Macaca mulatta: one gene and its partners. The protein of the gene in region 3 binds, or shares a complex with, the protein of the main gene of each other region. Links are inferred from orthologs where the notes say so. Each region holds a gene or a part of one and is shown on either strand. Other genes may lie near its edges.

Region 1 (3,962 bases), on a different chromosome or scaffold from region 3:
AATTTTTAGCTTGTTCTATCATACTATCTTTACTTGTGCAAATTTAGCCCATCCTTGTAGGTCTAACGTTTATGCCACCTCTTTAGGAAGCCCATCTTGTGCTCTCTCCCTTCTCTAAAATTTTATATACATCCCTTAAACATATGTTTACATATTCTCCGCCTTCAACTCCCATTCTCAGGCTATTTTATTCCCGTTTATGAGATTTGCTGTTTAGCTCAGTATTTTGTGGGTTTTCAAAAGATTCCACTCAATTTACCGAGCACCTATGCACCAGACATTTTATTAGGTACAAGGAAAAGCGTTAAATAGATATAATCATGGCCTTCAAGAAACTGAACCTGGTAAGGGAGACGAATAAGTAGACATTCAAGTGAGCTTTAGGAGACTTGGTTTGGTAGTGAATACAGTCTCACGTGTATTAACAATTTACAGCACCGTAAAATAAGAGACAGAAGCCAACAAATCCGTTTCAAACAGTTCAAAGGAGGAAAAGGAGAGGGAAGGGCGGTTTAGATACAGCATCACCATAAATAGCCTGATAATCTAACCCTGTGATAATCCAAGTATAGTCACAGCACCTGCCTCAGAATCACTTGGAAGGCTTGTGAGGAATACAAACGCAGATTCATACCTACTGAAATTAGAATGGAGAAAGGGGCATTTAAGTCTGCATTTTAAAGACATTCCCCAGGTACTGAAGCCATCCAAAGTTTTAGAACAGAGCAGAGCCACGCTTCGCAGACCTTGTTCCTCAACTACTGCCTCCTTCTAGCCGGAGGGTGGCGTGCAGCGTGTCCCTTCCCTTCCCACCGTCCAAGTTATCTATCCAGTTTTCGAACGTCGGCCCACAGACCGCAGGACAATACGCGAGAGACTAGGAGCACCCACTACGCAAACCACCACACAGGGATCGGAGGCCGGACCCGCAAAGGATTTGGGGAAAAAGGCATCAGGCCAATCCGAAGGGCGAGAGCGGCCCTAGGAATGGAGGGGCGGGGTGGGTGGCGGGGGGGGGGGGGCGGGGAGAGAGAGGTTTTTTTTTTTTCTTGATTGACGTAAAGCGTACCCAATTAAAATAAAACTGGTAAAGCTTCCGCCATAATGGGCAGAACCATAGCGACATTTCAACCAATCCAGCTCAAAAGTGTCTATGTTGTGGGAGGTCCCTGAGGCCGCTGAGGTCGTTCGTGTCTGTTGAACGGTTGTGGGAGTCTTGCTGCTTTGGGTAGGGGGTTAAAATCGTTTCTTGAGAGGAACGACTCTGTCCGAAGAGATAATGAGTTTAGCTCTGAGGTCGGTAATAAGGAGGCGGCAGTGCTCTCCACACCCCGGAGCGGGACCTAGGGAGGGTGTGTGTGGAAGGGAGGCCGTTTGGGGCCGTGGCGAGGCAGGGGATGCTGTTTGGGATGCGGGAAAGGAGCCTAGGGCAGCCTGTCTGGATCACTCACCCTCTGGGCTCTGGTGCCCTGCAGGGAACGAGACTTCCAGTGCATTTCTACTAAGGAGGTTATTTCTGTCAGCGCGTAGGGCTTTCGACTACCAAAAAAATGGGCTTAGTTGCGAGCGAGGGGGAGGGAATGAAATATCGCGAGGCTTCTACTCTGTTGCTCTGAGAGATCAGGCCGCGGAACATCCCTTCATTCAATTCGTATGCCTGGCCAGGGCCCCACCTCCGCTGCTCTGCTGCTGATGCAATCATCCACCTATAAATTTTGGAAATAACAAAAAACTCTTTGCTATTCTCCCAAGGTCCTGCTTTACGGTGTAATTAGAAACCCATTTTAGTGACTAATTGGCAAACTGTCTCTTGGATTTCCTGTTTCTTTCATTTCTTTACCTTTCAGTTCTAACCTCTAACCCTCTGTCTGTTACCCGCTCCCCCTACGTAGACGTTGTACCGTAAAACTATACATATACTTAGGACACTCTAAAAATGTTCCATGTTCTGCTAAGGGATAATCATGGTACCCTTGGATGGGGTCAGGGGTGGGTCGGTTCTGGACTTGGCCTCTAAAAGTCTCAGGAAGGAAAAGACTGACCCCAGGAATACCCAAGTTTGTGTCAAGTCAGGTCTCATGAAAGGAAGATCTTCCTCAGCTTTGTCATACTGCATCTACTGGTCACTTCCTAGCCTTTTTTTTTTTTTTTTTTTTTGTAGCGTTCAGAGACCAAAACGACTTTCAAATGCAGCTAGATACGTGTTTTAAATACAGTCAACTGGTTTTGACATGTTAATGTGTTACCAGATTGTGTGTTTCAAAACTTGTTCTTATACCAGTGTTGCGGCTCCATTGGAAAACTTGGAGCACATTTAGATGGGCAGCTCTTACGGAAAACATTTCTGGCTTTAAAGTAATTTTTGCTTTTTTCTTTAAGCGTTTCCAGAGTTTATGAGAAGTTTAACCTCCAGTTTACATCTTAAGTGAGACAAGACTTATGAAGCACAAATATTGTATACTTTTTTGACATCTAATATTTGTCATATGTTTAGACTCATTAATATTTTGGGTGATTTGTTAATATCAGTGGAGGAAATGACACATAAATTGCCAAACTGTTAGAAACGTGTAATCTAAAAACATTTTGAACCAACAGTCCCAAAATATAAGTTAATCCAGTTGTATTTTTTGTAGTAATTTTATGAACTTAATTATCAGAACTATCAAAAGTAAACCGATATATGGTGATTGTCAGTTACGAATTTTGGTTTCATTTGGAGATTTTTTGGTTTCTTTAACATTCTTGTAGAATAATGTGAGTGTTTTTGTTTTTTTTTGGTTGGAGTTGGTTGGAGTTTCAGACATAAAAGTAATGTTGCTTATTCACAGTTCTTGAATAAATAAAAAGTTAGGGAAAGTGGGAATAAATAAAAAGCTGGGAAAAGGAAAAGTTTGGTCCTCATTTCTTTTAATAATCTGTAACACTCTTTAGTTTTGGGAAGTTCATATTTATAGCAATTTAGACTATGGAATAAACAGGGCATTGACTCATAAAGGGAAAGTTTCCCTGTCTTTCTCCAAAGTACTTTCTTTTTTGAAATTTAGAAAATAATTATTGGCTAATTTCTGTTAGTAAAGAGAATTAAAGTGGACTAAGGGCTTTTTCTTTCCATTTCATAGAAGTGAGCTTGTAGTAGACAAAACAAAGAGGAAAAAAAGAAGAGAACTGTCTGAGGAACAGAAACAAGAAATTAAAGATGCTTTTGAACTATTTGATACAGACAAAGATGAAGCAATAGATTATCATGAATTAAAGGTAATGGTATACTTTAAAATACTTGTTTCTGTGTTAAAATGATTTGCATTTTGACAGTTGCTTTACATTACATTTCTAAGTAATTATTTTAACTAAATTGGTTTTGGAACTATGAAGGCATTTTAAGCATTCATAGTTAGATTCTATAATAATACTGAATAGAACTCCTAACACAGTTTTTAGAAAATCTTTTTCACGTGATAAAACGAATAGCATTTTAAATGTAACAATACATTCCTAGGGAAGGTGCTTATTTTTCACTGACATAATTAAAGGATTTCAAACTGGAATTTAAACTATTACCATATTCTTTTCACTGTTTTTTTTGTTTTTGTTTTTGTTTCTTGGTGACTCATACTGTTTTCAGATTGTGGGATTGTTGTCTTTTAATCTTATAATTTGTATTTGTTAGTAACATAGTCTCAATCCACTTTCTGTGGTACAAACAACTTCAGTGCTGTTTGATGTTGACACATGCTTGTAGGTAAAAATGTCAACTTTAAGACCTAGAATGTCAAGGTGTAGAGAGGGATTTGTAAATTATTATTTGTCAGGGTATAAGGAGAGATTTGGGTTTAGGGTAGAATGGGACTTACTTTCAGCACAGTGGGAAAGATAGTATTTTGAGATTTTTAATAGCCTTAATGGATAGGTGAATGTAAGTGTTTATTTGATAGTTTTAATTTTTGTAATTTCTTAAGGGA
Region 2 (4,095 bases), on a different chromosome or scaffold from region 3:
TCAGCTTCATCAATCATTTCCTATATGACAGTAAAGATTCAGGTTAGATTAATTTATAAACTAATGCCAAAAGGTGACTAAGTAATATGACTCTTTTTAGAGACGGGGTCTCTATGCTGCCCACACTACTCTCAAATTATTGGCCCCAAGCGATCCTCCTGCCTCAGCCTCCTAAAGTACTGGGATTACATGCATGAGCCACTGTGCCTGGCAAGCAATAGACTTTTAATAACACTATGTGAATAGATAATTGTAGTCCACCCAATGCCAGTATGCCACTCCTGATAATAGCTTGGTTCCTGAAAACTTATTTGAAAACCAACTCATACTTTGTCAAACATTATCACCTGGGAGGGAGCTTGAAGATTACCTTGACTAGAGGGATTCCTGGAATGTAAAATAGTAGGCAAAACTGTGCCTATGTGCATTTTTCTGGAAGCAGCGTTCATAGGTTTGTCTGACTATTAAAGGAGAATTCAGTTGTCCACAGAGGGACAAAGTACACTGGCTTTCCTTCAAAGAAGTGCTCACACTAGGGAAAATGTAACAGAAAAGTCACAGAGGGCCCAAAGGTGGGAATCTTAAGTTCCAGTGTGATGCATTACAAACCTGCAGCTCCTCATCAGTCAGGTTCTCACCCAACTCCTTGGCCACGCGTTTCAGATTTTTGAACGAAATCTTCCCAGTTTCATCATCATCAAAGAGCTTGAAAGCTTTCAGGATTTCTTCTTTGGTATCTTTCTCAGACTTACCAAATAGAACATGAAACACATGAGTAGGGGGACACCATGGTTACTCATGTCCTGTAGCCCTGCCACTGCCCGGTCAGGTCACCCTTTCCTTTTTAACAATGTAACTCGAGTCTAGACTTGCAGCAAGTGTCAGGAAGCCCATTTTGGCCTCAGAGAAACACCAGTCAAGCCAGGCACTCCATCCAAGGTGACGTTTGCTCCCTATCCCTATATCTCTCCCTATCCCATATCTATTTCCTAACTGGTTTAGAATTCTGTGGGAAGAGGTATCTGCTTGGAAGTCTTGAGAAAGAAGTACAAGGGCTTGTTTTGGGAGCCCAAGGTAACATGATGGGAGGGCAGGCCTCCTGATGCAGCTGCTACCTGGACTGCTCTGTGGTCACATGACTGTTTTAACAGGCAGATGCCATGGGCCTCTGCAGATGACTGGGGCGCCATACCATGCAAATTGTCTTAGCTACTCACCATTTTCTGGGTCATCACAGTTAAAAAGTCACCAAAGTTCATTTTTCCTGTCCCTTCTTTGTCAATTTCACTTATCATTTTCTTAATTTCTTCTTTCTTAGGTTCAAAGCCCAGGGCCCTCATTGCCACCTATAATGAAAACAGGATTGTCTCAATAAGCACATCTGAACTAGCAGCAGCAAAAACAACAGTGTTGAGAGCATTAAGCCAGCATCTGATGTGGTCATGTTAATATGATTGGGGAACACTATAACATTGATCTAATTGACATTTGCAATCAATTTTATTTAATAATACTCTAAGTAAAGACAGGAAAACAGAGCACAGTACAACCTCCCCTGTTACTTATTGCAGGGAGAAGAGGGCAAAAGGGGTAGAGAGGTGATAGGGAGATGACAAGGAAGAGGCAGAGGAAAGGAAGGGCAGTACGGCAGGAATGCATAGAGCTTGCCTTAAGTTCTTTAACATCTATGGTGCCAGTTCCATCCGCATCGAAAAGATCAAAAGCTTCCCGGATCTCCTGCTTCTGCTCTTCAGTAAGCTCAGGCTTAGGACTCATTCTTTTTCTCTGGGAACTTGATGCCATGTTTGTCTTCTTAAAGTTGGAGGCCTTCATACGTTATGCAATACACAAGCACAATAATATATCGTACAGTCCATATTTACATAACATAGTTACAGACACCCATATGTAGTTTTAAATAATTTTATGGCAACCAATTCCAAAGCTTTGCTTAACAAGAAAGATAACAGGGTTTACTGGCAAGAACAATGAATCTTTCCATGAACTTCTATCCCTCCCTTTTCTTTACTGTCGTTTCTAGAAGCAGGGAGATCACTTGTTCAGTAAGGATACCTCTTACTGAAAATCATCCCAAAAGAGAGCTAGTCAAGAAAATGACTGCGAATAAGTAGAGATAATCAGCTCTTCCCGAATGTGGGGATCCTGGTTCTGGAAACTGCCTTACAATGCCCACTCCCAGTACTCCGCTTCCCAGTAAGCACTCTGACTTCCCAATTACTTCTAGATTTGGCCAAATATTAGCAAGTTGTTAAGATGTATATTGTGTCAGTATCGAGTAATAAAACTCAATCCATCTGACACCTTCGTGCCTTCTCCAAGAAGCTACAGCATCCCCTGAATGCCCCTATATTTAAATTGTAAAAAACACTTTAATAGAACACAATACACCTTCTCCCAGCTCTGTGTGGAAATTTTGGCAGAATGAGGCGGCCAGGGGGCCAAGGTCTGAGAAAGTCAGGGGCCTGTGAGGGATTCGAGTCTTTTTTGCCCAGGGAGGTTCACCGAGGTGATCAGGGAAGGCCAGGGGAGCCCGAGGGGCGGGTGTGGGCCTGTTGTGGGTGAAGGGGAGGCAGCAGCAAAGCGCAGGCCCAGTAGGTTGGTTAGCGTCTGTACCCTACTCTTCCGGGAAAGAGCTCAAAGGAAGGACTGGTGCGTCAAAGCCGAGAAAGGCGCAGGAGAGGCGGCGTGGCCGAGCTGGGGCCTGGGAAGGGCTCAGCCTCTGGGCGTGGGGCGCGACAGAGCGGCAGCACTCACCATAGCCAAAGGAGTCCACGGCCGGTTGTTAGGCAACCGACGTGTACACTGATTCGGCGCCGCTCCCACCGCCCCGCGCGCACAGCCCCGCTCCCCATTGGGCGTCCGCTCGCCGCCGCCGCTCCCTACTGGTGCAGGGCCGAAGAGGGTGGGACTAACCTGGCAAAGCCCAGGCCCAGCGCGGGGAGGGGCACGCTGGGGACAGAGACCTGTCTTTATTGGGCAAGATCAAGCCGTGAGCGCCAATTGGCTGAGCCGACGCCGAGCTGGGCCAATCCTCTTGGTAGAAGAAGCTCGGCTGATTCTCGGCTCACGCGGGAGGGGAGTAAAGGGTGGCGTTCCGGGGCTGGAGTTCGGTGGGTGCAGCCTGCTTGCGAGCTGAGGCCAGCCAGTGGGGCACCTGCGGACGGGTAAGAGTCGTGGCCTTGCCCTTGGAGGCCACCCTGTGTCAGCGACTGGGCGGGGCGGGAGGGTGAGGAGCTGCGGGGCCGCCCGGGTCGGGTGCTTTCTGTGCTGACCTAAGGCTGAGTTAGGGACCGAGTGCATCAGAGCAGCCAGAGACGATTGACCTTGCGTGTTGGAGCAGGGACTGTACTCACGGGGCAACTGAGACCCGGAGAGGGGAAGGGGTCTGCTGAGCGTTGTGGCAGAGGTCGGACGGCTGGGACCTAGGAACTGAATCCAGCCGAGGCTCGCTCTTTGAGGGTGGCCCTTCGAGAGCACCCCCAGACTGACCCAGATGTGTAGGCCCCAGACCAGGTTCCAAGAGAGGATCACTTCAGGTCTTACCTGGCTAAAAACAGCCCAGGACGGTGAACTGGGGGCTTTGGGAACGGACTTTGAAAGGAGTGAAGGGGATGTGAGCAAGCAAGAGGGGCGGGGAGAGGTCATCAAAATATACTCTTTTTGACACCCACACAGTGCAGATAAGGAGGAGCATTCCAGGCCGAGACGCCCTCATCAGCAGAGTCACAGGAGTTTTGGAAGTGAGAGGTATGCTTGGAGAATTAAAAGGGAGCGTGTGCAAGGGCTGTGTGGACTGAGACAGACCTGCAGAAGTGGAGCTGGAGGTCCAGTTTGCCCTCTTTAGCTGTCTACGTGGCTTTTAGCCTTCACCTGATTTTCCTCCAGGCACTGGGGCAGTAATCTAGGGAAGTAGAGGGCAGAAAGTAAGTTTTTCAGGCAGAGAAAGGCCTGAGGCTTATTAGAACCTTTTAAATGGAGCTTCTGCCCTTTGCCCTCTTCAGCAGTGAACAGACTCCTAATTTTTGGGTCATCATCATCCCCCCAAGTAGTACGAGCCAGAGTTCTCATCATGGT
Region 3 (3,992 bases):
CCCGACCAACCATAAGTCTTAGAACTCTACAATCTCTATATTTTTTCCTTACAACTCTAAGATGTTTGATTTTTTAAAACTAATTTAAAGGAAGCACATAACACAGAATGCAATCTCCACAAATTTTAAGTGTACAGTTCAGCAGTGTTAAGCATATTCACATTGTGCAACAGATCTTCAAAGCTTTTTTCATCTTGCAAAATAGAAACTCTATGCCCCCTAAACAACTCCCCATTTTCCCCTTTCCCAGCTCCTGGCAACCACCATTCTACTTTCTGTTTCTATGAGTTTGACTACTTCAGATACCTCATATAAGTGGAATCATGCAGTATTTGTGTCTTGTGACTGGCTTATTTCACTTAGTATGTCCTCAAGATTCATCCACATTGTTTTATGTGACAGGATTTCCTTCCTTTTTAAGGCTGCATAAAGATATTATGTATATGCATGTATACGTTATGTATATGCATATACATTATGTATATTGCATGTATATGACACATTTCCTTTACCCACTCAACCCGACATTCATTACTTGATGGAAAAAGAGTTCCTTCCCTACCACGTTTAGTTTTTTAAAAAAACCACCTCCTGACTCTTGGCTTTTAAAACTCTTGGTTTTACCGCTAACACGGTAAGACCCCGTCTCTACTAAAAATACAAAAAAAAATTAGCCCGGCGCGGTGGTGGGCGCCTGTAGTCCCAACCACTCCGGAGGCTGAGGCAGGACATTCCTTGAACCCGGGAGGCGGGGCTTGCAGTGTGTGGCGATCGCGCCACTGCACTCCAGCCTGGGCGACAGAGCGAGACTCCGTCTCAAAATAATAATAATAATAATAAGCCAGGCTAGCCAAGCATGGTGGCAGGCGCCTGTAATCCCAGTTACTTCGAAGGCTGAGGCAGGAGAATTGCTCGAACCCGGGAGGCTGAGGCTGCAGTGAGCCGAGATCATGCTACTGCACTCCAGCCTGGGTGACAGGGTGAGACTCCATCTCAAAAAGAGAAAAAAAAGAAAGGAAAATAAATGTATATACCCTGCGCGCTGGCTCACACCTGTAAACCTACCACTTTGGGAGGCAGAGGCAGAAGGATAGCGTGAGGACAGCAGTTCGAGATCAGCCTAGACAACATGGAGAAACCCTGCGTCTACTAAAAATACAAAAATTAGCCCAGCGTGGTGGCGCGTGCCTGTAATTCCAGCTACTCGGGAGGCTGAGGCAGGAGAATTGCTTGAACCTGGGAGGCAGAGGTTGCAGCGAGCCGGGTTCGCATCACTGCACTCCAGCCTGGGAGGCAGAGCAAGACCCCATCTCAAAAACAAAAAATTAAAAAATAAAATAAAATAGAGAAATTATATATAACCACACGTATAACACGCAACCCTTGCTTTTAAGCATATCTAATTGGGAAGGAAGGACAGCAATATTAAGCATGTAACTTCATTACTAACCTTCTAATATATGTCTAATATCATAAAATGAATTAGGTTGTGCTTAAGTAGTAGCACTAAGTAGTTTAAGCACCTAAGACTGGCTTAGAATCATTAGATGTTTAACTCTGGGGACATTACGTAACTATTTGAAGTCTCTATTTCCAAATCTGTAAAATAGTGTATTTAACAGCAACTACTCCAAAGGGCAACTGAATGAGATAAGCACAATAATAAGCGTAAAGCTGGGATATAGTATGTGCTCAGTAAGCATAGCTTTCATTATAATTTATCACAGCGTTTCTGAAATGATTTGATTTACAAAGCAGATTTAGACAACTTTTCGAGAATATCAGTCCTGTGGAAAATAGAACCAATACTTTAAAAAGTGACTGTAAAGAAACAGAAAATGCACCCAGGAAAGAGTCCTTTTAAGTGAGATTCTTACAAGCATTTACCACACAAATGTACTCTTAATCTTGCCCGCGAAGTTCTGAGCATCTCAACCGAGGCATTAACATTCTAAGCGCCAAATTCTTTCCCCGGACTGCTCTGCCCATGAAGGACTTTCTGCATCCTTGCTCCGCCTACTATGCGACAGCAGCGTACCCCAGGAAATATGACAATCAAAATGCACTCACTCATTCAGACACCACTGGAGGGCGGTACCGCCCGAACTGAGAATCACCAAAAGAGGATCCACCCCAAATCTTCCAGAATTCCTTTACTACCTTCTAGATTCAATTCCACCCCGAAAATCTACAGCTCCAAAGGTACAAGAACATCCAGGGCCTAACCACACCCGCAGAGTTAGGAGACGTCCGCTGAAGCCCCGCCACCCTCTTCCTGACCACCTTTCAGATGGCCGACTTCATCATCGGGAGTATTCGCCGCCTGCAAGATCTCCCACCCTCTAAGAACACCGGCGCCTACTTTCAGCCTCTGCTCGTGGCTGGAAAATATCTCGGGTCCTTTGGCTTCACTGCTGAAGACCTGTCGCTATTCCGGCGAAATCTGGACCACAGACGCACAGTGGAACTTGGGGGTAAGGGGGCCAGGCTTAGCCCTGGGCTGTGAGAGATTAAACACCTGGGTCCAGCGGCCCAAGCCTCACTACCTCGACTCTCAAACGCCAACTCAAGGGCTAGAGCCGCAGCACCGACGCGCGCCATTCAAACTGGGGAGGGGTGAGACTCTAGGCCCAGAATTAGGGAAAAGGAGGCACCGCACATAAGTTGGGTCCTAGACTCCGAGAAACCCCACGGTCTCGTCTCTCCCTGAAGACCTGGTCATCGCTCAGCTCAATCATCTCCTTTCTGTCTGGCCACACTTACCCGAATTTACCGCCAAAGGCGTCGCCATCTTAGAGGCGCACTAACAGAGCCCTTCTGCCGCATGGAGGCCCCAGGAAGGGGTGAGGCTGCCCTGAGTGAAGCCTGAACAAAAAGGCACCAGGCTGTCCCCTCCACGCTGGGCCGTCCCAGGTGTACAGAAGGCTCCAGAATCTGCTCTGGGTCACAAGTATCAATTTTCATTGGGATTATTCCCATTCAAATAAGGCGAGGGCAACCACTTCAGAGACACGAGGTCCTCGATCGGACGTTCATCGTGTAGTGCATCCTGGGACTTGTAGTTTCTTTCTAATGATGAATTGGTTAAGTGGAGAGGAAAAAGTAAAGTGGAATAGAAAAAGATATTCTGAGAGTAGTTATTAAAATGACGCCCACTTATGAGATTATAAAAGCCGTAAATTCAAATCATTAGCTCCGTTTCAAGTTAAATCTTCCTTACAGTGGGGAGTGGAGTAAGGTGTGAAGTGTCTACACCTCAAAAAGTCATTGACCAGTTAAAAACTAAGTTTCCGTGACATTTCAATTTACCAAGTATGTTGTGTCAACATAGTTGCGTAGAGCGAAACAAATCATAATTTTTAACTATAAAATTTTCAAATGGATACAAAATTAGCATAGTGAACAGGCAGCATCAATAACGTGGCCAATTTCCCACCACGGCAGCCCCAACCCACCCTTACCACCCCAGCACCTTATCCTCCCCACCCCCCGCCCCCGATTATTTTGAAACAAATTCCAGACATATCGTTTCATAATCACCAAGTATTTTTCTACCTGAGCAACCAAAGTAGCTGAACTCTCTTTCCTCAGTTGTTAAATTTTAGTTTACTGATTTTCAAACTAAAATATAATCATTGCTATTTACAGCTATGTATTAAGAATTTTACAGCCATTATTTCATTTAATCCCTGCAAACCATTCTATTGGGAAAATGATCTGATTATAGCTATGTCAGCGATGTTCTATGTGCCTTACAATCTCATTGTATCAACTCTCCATCATTCCCATTTCACTGTTGGAAATTAGAATCAAATAATTTAGACAAAAGCACAGAGTATGTTAACAATATCCAGAACTGGCTGGGTGCGATGGCTCATGCCTGTAATACCAGCACTTTGGGAGGCCAAGGTGGGCGGATCACTTAAGGTCAGGTGTTTGAGACCAGCCTGGGCAGCATGGTGAAACCCCGTCTCTACTAAAAATATAAAAAT

The links. Proteins that work in one complex are often made in the same cells at the same time.
Region 1: NUP205 (region 3) and CETN3 share a complex: the UniProt entries of both Homo sapiens proteins name them as parts of the nuclear pore complex. The link is inferred for Macaca mulatta from reciprocal best matches to the Homo sapiens genes NUP205 and CETN3.
Region 2: NUP205 (region 3) and centrin-2 share a complex: the UniProt entries of both Homo sapiens proteins name them as parts of the nuclear pore complex. The link is inferred for Macaca mulatta from reciprocal best matches to the Homo sapiens genes NUP205 and CETN2.

Annotation. Positions count from the first base shown.
Region 1 is NC_133411.1:96,792,234-96,796,195, reverse strand, and holds the start of CETN3 (centrin-3), read left to right. Parts: upstream 1-1,160; 5' UTR 1,161-1,279; coding exon 1,280-1,296; intron 1,297-3,122; coding exon 3,123-3,258; intron 3,259-3,962. UniProt on the Homo sapiens protein: Plays a fundamental role in microtubule-organizing center structure and function. As a component of the TREX-2 complex, involved in the export of mRNAs to the cytoplasm through the nuclear pores.
Region 2 is NC_133426.1:159,106,004-159,110,098, forward strand, and holds the start of centrin-2, read right to left. Parts: upstream 2,803-4,095; 5' UTR 2,779-2,802; coding exon 2,776-2,778; exon of another isoform or gene 2,410-2,775; intron 1,828-2,409; coding exon 1,669-1,827; intron 1,347-1,668; coding exon 1,218-1,346; intron 748-1,217; coding exon 610-747; intron 21-609; coding exon 1-20. UniProt on the Homo sapiens protein: Plays a fundamental role in microtubule organizing center structure and function. Required for centriole duplication and correct spindle formation. Has a role in regulating cytokinesis and genome stability via cooperation with CALM1 and CCP110.
Region 3 is NC_133408.1:175,386,783-175,390,774, reverse strand, and holds the start of NUP205 (nuclear pore complex protein Nup205), read right to left. Parts: upstream 2,809-3,992; 5' UTR 2,792-2,808; coding exon 2,764-2,791; intron 1-2,763. UniProt on the Homo sapiens protein: Plays a role in the nuclear pore complex (NPC) assembly and/or maintenance. May anchor NUP62 and other nucleoporins, but not NUP153 and TPR, to the NPC.